Linked DNA regions of Xenopus tropicalis. The protein of the gene in region 1 interacts with the protein of each later gene in a biochemical or structural test. Links are inferred from orthologs where the notes say so. Each region holds a gene or a part of one and is shown on either strand. Other genes may lie near its edges.

Region 1 (2,998 bases):
TAGGTATTTCTGCATGAAGCCACAGCTCGGCTAATGGCCGGCGCTAGCCCCACGCGGACACATCAGCTGCTGGACCGCAGTTTGCGCAGGAGAGTGGCCCCATCCAGCAAAGAAGGTGAGATATATGAGAGGGCAGACCAGGACCAGATAGGAGCCACAGAAATATATATATTTAACCCATGCTCTGCCGCTGTATCCTCTAGCACTGCCCTAACCATTCTTGCTGCAAAGCCCGCTGAGCCTTCATTTCACTACTGTCTGCTTGGCGCATTAACCCCCATTCTGCTGATGCCTCCTCTGTGTATATAAGGACTGGCAGCGCTTCTCTATGGCTTTTTTTTTCTCTGACGCACACAATCTGAGAGACGGCCCAGAATGGGGTTAATGCCCGGTTCAGCATGGTGTGAGATTGTGCCGTTTCGGCCGCTACAGAAAGAGGGTGCAAGGCAATGGCAGAAGCCAGATTAGGACCCCAAAATCTCCCATATCCTTATACACATTCATGTTACACTTCCTGTATTAATAAATATATATAATATATATATATCTAATATCTATATATATATTAATTTTACAGGATAGTTTTGCATGTTCCGTGTTGCAGTATGGCACACAATATTAACCCCCATGTCAGCATTCATCTAGTATATAGTTTGGGCCCCAGTTCATTTATATCAAATTGTGGCCCCCTCCAGCTGTTGCCAACTACAGCTCCCAGAATCCTCAGCCTGCCAGCTGGGAGGTGAAGTTAACAGCAGCTGGGATTGTAACCTCCCTGACCTTCCTGGTGGCAACTTCCCGGCCCTCATACAGACGGCACAGTAGTGGGAAAGTGGCCAGTGTAAACCAGGAGATACCGAAGCTGTTTCTCTTTCGTCCACAGATATGGTACGCTTGGTCAGCTGCAGTGTTACCCTCCCGACGCTGCCTTGTCAGTAATCTCCGATTGGTTTAAAGAAAGCCCCGCCCTCTCGGGGATGCTCTCCAGTGTGCCCCTCTTACCCAGGGCCAGCAGCACCCATAGGAGACTTATCTTAAGCCATGCAGGACTGTGCCACTGAGGAGAATGAGGGGGTATTCACCCTCCATATTACCCCACCAGGGCCAGAGAAGAACGCATGGCACCACCTGACATGACACTGCTGGATTGTTTTTTTTTTACTGTCGAGCGCGACTCTATTCTCTTCAAGCATCTTTAGCTCCTAGCTTGTAGCTTATTGGCTCAGAGGATCTTTCTGACTCGTGAAAAGAAAGGGGAAAAAAGTGTAAAAAAAAAAAGAAATCGGTTGGAAAATTATTTGTATTTAAACTTTTTATTTTTCAGTTTGCTGTGTTGTCTCCATTGTTTGCCTGTTTGCCCCGTGCTGATGCACATTTCATTCATCCGCCCTATTGCCCAGTAATTATAATGGCAGCTTATTGCAGAGCAATCTGAGGGTGTGTGCTGCCCCCTAGTGTTTATACCATGTAAATGGATTTGCTCAGAGGGAATGTGCCCTATAAGCACAGCCCTCATACTGTGAGTCTTTAAAGGGTAAACAAACCCTTTTAAGAACCTTCTGCTGCCTTAGTATCATGGTTGCAATGTGTTAGTGACCTGCCAGCCTCTCTCTGTTCCCAGCAGGCACCCAAGAGATGAGCCCCACACCCCGGGAGCATGCAGAAGCCCTGCTCCTTGCCTGCCGCTACCTGCCCCCTACCTTTCTATCTGCCCCAGGGCAGAGAGTGGGCATGTTGGCCGAGGCAGCCCGTACCCTGGAGAAGCTTGGGGACAAACGGACTCTGCAGGACTGCCAGCAGATTATCCTGGCGCTGGGCAGCGGAACCACAGTAACTTCCAGCTAGGGGGGGGGGGTCCTGTTATACTTGCTATACAAAGCAAGAACATCCCCCCCCGAAGAATTATAACGAATGGCTTCAACTATAGCAATTCCATCGGGCGACTGTTCCCTGCTCCACTTCACAGGCAGATGCCCTACGATATTGCACTTTAATCTAAATGCCCCCTCTCATCACAAGGGGCAGAAACCGCTCATGGAGTCCTGCGTGGAATACGGATGCAGCAGCAGCGCCTTCCCTGTACTGAGTAACTGCCGCGCCGCTAGCGTAACTATGGGTGGGAGAAGCTGCGCTGGTTATAGGAATCGTCCTCTCAGTGTGGGAGCCTCCATAGAAAGGAGCCTTCTGGTCACACAGTATGTTGTGTGTTCATATTTTACTAAGGGAAGGTAAACTTCATTTTGCAGATTTATGTACATTTAATTTTATATTTAAATATATACAGTGACTTCTGTATTTATTTGTCTTTGTTTCCCTGTACTAAGCACAATTCAGCAGGAACAGCCCCCTCAGTTTGATCATAGCCTGTACAGAGAGATACCATAAAACTATGGCAGCATAAGGATTCCCCTGTACTAAGCACAATTCAGCAGGAACAGCCCCCTAAGTTTGCTCATAGCCTGTACAGAGAGATACCATAAAACTATGGCAGCATAGGGATTCCCCTGTACTAAGCACAATTCAGCAGGAACAGCCCCCTAAGTTTGCTCATAGCCTGTACAGAGAGATACCATAAAACTATGGCAGCATAAGGATTCCCCTGTACTAAGCACAATTCAGCAGGAACAGCCCCCTAAGTTTGCTCATAGCCTGTACAGAGAGATACCATAAAACTATGGCACATAGGGATTCCCCTGTACTAAGCACAATTCAGCAGGAACAGCCCCCTAAGTTTGCTCATAGCCTGTACAGAGAGATACCATAAAACTATGGCACATAAGGATTCCCCTGTACTAAGCACAATTCAGCAGGAACAGCCCCCTAAGTTTGCTCATAGCCTGTACAGAGAGATACCATAAAACTATGGCAGCATAGGGATTCCCCTGTACTAAGCACAATTCAGCAGGAACAGCCCCCTAAGTTTGCTCATAGCCTGTACAGAGAGATACCATAAAACTATGGCAGCATAAGGATTCCCCTGTACTAAGCACAATTCAGC
Region 2 (4,553 bases), on another chromosome or scaffold:
GGCTGTAATCACCCTCATTGTTCACTTCTTCACACCTCAGTAGGTAATGCCTGGAATATGCTGCCTGTGTGTATGGCACACACAGGGAGCATAGGGCAGGGAGGGTATGGTACACACAGGCAGGGTAGGGCAGGCAGAGTATGGCACACACAGACAGCATAGGAAAGGCAGAGTGCTGCCTCTGTGTGCAATACTCTGCTTGCCCTATGCTGCTTGTGGGAGGTGAACCTGGCAGGGGTTTGTGGGAGTTTGTTAGCAGTTGGAAATAGCCATTAAATGGTCCCTAAGGTGTGTAATTATGTACTGGGGGTTGCTCTGCTATCCACAGGGGAGGAGGAGGCATATGGAATTTAAGGGTATATCTTAATATGACATAATTCTTTCACATATGAATGATGGTTGATATCCCCACAGTAAGCACCAAGCATTTGGGATTTTGCTGTGCTACCACCATTGTGATAAAATGTGTGTGGTTTGAAGTGGGTGTGGTTTCAAAAAGGGGAGTGGTCAAAACTGGCTTCCATTAGCGGCCCTCCACCACGTATGCTAGAGAAATTCCGGCCCTCGGCACTGCAGCACTGCTCTATAGCCATTCTAGTTGTTCATATTCTGTTTTAGGGCTCTGGCACACGGGGGAGATTAGTCGCCCGCGATAAAACTCCCTGTTCGCGGGCGACTAATCTCCCCGAGTTGCCTACCCCTGCCATCCCACTCGCGAGTCTTTTTCGGCGATTCCCTGAAATTGCCCCGCTGCGTCTGCCATCCCACCGGCGACTTACATGTTCGCCGGTGGGATGGCAGGGGTAGGCAACTCGGGGAGATTAGTCGCCCGCGAACAGGGAGTTTTATCGCGGGCGACTAATCTCCCCCGTGTGCCAGAGCCCTTAGGGTGAAGACACACAGAGCTACTAGTAGCAGCTACTTGTAGTGGCTACTAAATTAGACAATGCTGATCATTTACTGATAACCGTCTCTATGTGTTTTTTTTGGCAATTCTCAGTATTGTCTATGGCAGGGGATTCTCTGGAGTTTAGTAACCTTGAAAAAGTAGCTGCTACTAGTAGCTCCATGTGTCTTTCCCCTTAGGGCAGGGACACATGGTGAGATTAGTGACAAATCTCCCTTGTCGCGGGCGACTAATCTCCCCGCAATGCCATCCCACTGGCTACAATTTAAATCGCTGGTGGGGTGGCATACAATGCGCAGCAATTTGCCAAAGTCGCCCCAAGTTTCCTCTTAAGGCAATTTCGGCAAATTACATCCACAAATGTGTTATGCACAGAGCTTCTAAAAATGATGCTTAAGCCAAATATTATTAACCTACACTGATTAATGACGCCAAAATGGTTTCAGCATCTCCCCAGTTCTTTTCCCCCTAGACATGAGACAACTTCAAGAGAAAGTTTTTACACGGACTATAAAAAATGCCCCTCTCCTTTGGCTTTTGTATCTGCTAACAGGCTTTGCGGGCTTGACAATCACCACACCAACACACCCCTGAAAATGACACTTTATTGCCGATTTCGCTTTCCAACACCCTCTCCGTTCGTTGTGGCGGTGCCAGCGCATCCCCAGGTACCATGCGAGTGGCTAGTTTGTTATTGTACACGTCACACGGCCGGGGAACCAATAGGAAACGGTGTATCACGTGGTTCGCTGCGCTCCATCGTACAGCTGATGGGCGACTCCTTCTCTGGCAGTGGGAAGATGGCGGACTCAGATCGTGTAGGTTTTCCCATTGCCGGCGCTGTGTTAGCTGTCTCAAAAGAAAATGGCGAGCCCCTTTCCAAAAGGCAGCGCTTGGAAGATACCGGCGGGGGTGGGAGCCAGCTTGTGGGGGCTGAAAGCGAGGGAAAAGCGGCATTGCCGCCTATAGCTGCTTCTCTCCAGGAGGAAGGCGAGGCCTCTTCGGCAATGGAAAGCAAATCCAGAGCGCACAATGGCTCGGGCTTTCAGGGCCTTCCTTTGGGAACGTATTTGGTACAAGGCCAGGAGGAGGGCGGAGCCGAGGAGATGCCCAATGGAGACCTGTCGGATCAGGCTGTTGATTACGGAGGTTGGTTCCCTTTAACTCTTTCCCTACTAACAGCGGCATTGGGCGGGGCATATTCTGTAGGTGTTTGGAGGTTCTTCAGTGCAGTAATGTGGGCGATTCAGCGCATCAGTGGGTATAGAGTGCTACTCCTCTCTCCCTTCCATTTGCTAATACTGACCCATACAAATGAAGGTGCTTTTGCCAAGTTTGAACATATATTCCATTTAAAAACATTAGCAATGGTATATGTGAGTGAGTTATTATTAACATTTATTTATAAAGCGCCAACATATTCCGCAGCGCTGTACAACAAGTGGGTTTCATACATTGGACATACAGAGTAACATATAAAGCAATCAATAACTGATACAACAGGTGAAGAGAGCCCTGCCCAAGAAAGCTTAAAAGTTATGCTTACACCCTATAGTTGGGCCGCTGCTCCTTTGTAGAAAAAAATGCACCAGCCCAGGGTAAAATCTTCACTTACCTTCTCTTTGGAATCCCTACAGCAGGCAAGTCAAAGAGCTTTACTCAACTACACATGTACAAACCCAGGCTGTGAATGGCTTGGATGTGGCTAAAATGTAGGCACATCACTACTTTTCTTCCCTTCAGGGCATTTTTCCCAAAAGGGAGGCTATTGCCTTCTCTTGGCCTTAACTATCTACACATAGGCTGTATAGAGCTCATTAACTGTCCTTGTACTGGTAGGATAAAGAAACTTAAGGGTCCTTCCTGAAGGAAATTTCAGCCTCCCCAAAACAGCTCCTTAACTGGCCTCTTTTAGCCCCACAAAGTTACATTTAAAAGTGTCCATGTGTGTGAACCTGCCATTAAATGCAGAGTAACGGGAGTCACAGTCATCACTTTTTGTATCCTCACTTTGCTGACACAGAGCCTGAGGGACATGCATAGTTAAAGCTGATCCCAGAGTAGCTCCAACTGCTCAGGTTCTGAAGAAGTGCAAGGAGGTTCTGTGAAGTGCAAGGATGCATCTAATACAGGATTCGGCCATTTTCAGCAAGATTCTGAAGATTGCATAAGCAAATTAGGATTCGGTTCCGTATTCGGCCGAATCTTTTGCAAAGGATTCAGGGTTTGGCCGGATCCTAAAAATTGTGGATTTGTTGCATGAAGAGGATCTGAAGAAACAGAAGATGGCACCTATGATCTCCTCTACGGTACTCTGCATTTTTATGGAGGTTTCACAACAGTGCAGGTCGACCTAAAACCTGCATAACCCAGGGGTTGCAATTTGTGGGTGGTGAGCCAAGTTCACTGCCACTCCCTGATCTGTCTCTGTGCTTTTCCAGCCTCCATACTACTGGGGCAGCACTTTAGCTGGCCATACACAGGTATTTCAGCTTCCGATTCGGGTCCTTCAGGCCTACACGACTGACAGTCTTAAATTGTCCAGATCTCGATGGGACAGGTGTGGTTTTCTGATTGGGGATGCATTGTCTGACAGCACCTATGACCAGCGGGTGAAGATCTGCTCATTTTGTGATCTTTTTTAGCATAATTGTCCATGTGGAATGGGAGCAGGGAGTTGGCTAATGGAGGCTAGTTGAGGGTGCTAGGGTTTGGGGGAATGAGTTCCCATTATCAGCACTGCACACAGGGCAGTTCCCATTGTTTTTTGCTCACAATGAGTAACAACTCAGGAGGTGTGGACGAAACATTTAAAATTTCCACTAGTGATGTGTAAATCAACTGTCCTCTGGTCAGGTGAGTTTGGGTTGCTGGTTCTGGTGGGTCCAGGTGCTGGTATTGTTATACCTACCATCATCTTTTTCTGTGAGCCTCCACCTTGGTGACGTCACTAACAGATTGAGTTCCAGGAAAAAGTGTATTTTGTGACCCCACTCATCACTCATTTACACCCTTTCACTGAGAGTGATTATTAAATTGTTACAAAATGTGTTATCTTTGCCACAAAGACAAAAATGTACTTGTGTATTGGATAGAAAACGTTGTTCTTGGTGCAGTCTTTGTTTCAGAAAATGCCTTGTTTTAAACCCCTTGGCTGAATTCTTTTACAGCGGGTATCCATCTGGATGATGATCTTGCTGGTGGCTTTCATTCTTGTGACAGTGAAGATGATGATGGTGCATCTCATGCCAGCTCAAGTGATTGGGCACCCAGGCCCTGTATAGGTAAAGATGCCTATTTTTGTTATAGGCCTAGTTGTGCCTAGTAGAAAGAAATAACCATGCTAGCAAAATCTTTAGTTTATAACAGAATTATCCTTACTATATTAGAAAAAATTAGTTTGAGTTTGATAAATTTATAGCATTCTCCTCTTACAGCCTTACCAATGGACATTAGACAATAAATACACAAATTTTTTTTATGTTGGACACTTGTGGTGACCTCCACTGAGACCTTTCTTATTAGGGCTTCATAAATTAACTGGTACAGAATCCCTGCTACAAAACATTCTGCTGATAGCTTTCTGACCATCTTGTGGTCTTGTTTTCTTGAAAGTGGTGGCTTTCTCTTTGCAACCCAGCTCTGT

What was found.
Region 2: of the proteins of srebf1 (region 1) and sirt1, one has a biochemical effect on the other in vitro, tested with the Homo sapiens proteins (2 studies listed by BioGRID, with this or other methods). The link is inferred for Xenopus tropicalis from reciprocal best matches to the Homo sapiens genes SREBF1 and SIRT1.

What each region holds. Positions count from the first base shown.
Region 1 is NC_030685.2:15,391,523-15,394,520, forward strand, and holds the end of srebf1 (sterol regulatory element-binding protein 1), read left to right. Parts: intron 1-3; coding exon 4-115; intron 116-883; coding exon of another isoform or gene 884-939; exon of another isoform or gene 940-1,621; coding exon 1,622-1,845; 3' UTR 1,846-2,295; downstream 2,296-2,998.
Region 2 is NC_030683.2:38,239,505-38,244,057, forward strand, and holds the start of sirt1 (NAD-dependent protein deacetylase sirtuin-1), read left to right. Parts: upstream 1-1,707; coding exon 1,708-2,056; intron 2,057-4,077; coding exon of another isoform or gene 4,078-4,191; intron 4,192-4,553. UniProt on the Homo sapiens protein: NAD-dependent protein deacetylase that links transcriptional regulation directly to intracellular energetics and participates in the coordination of several separated cellular functions such as cell cycle, response to DNA damage, metabolism, apoptosis and autophagy.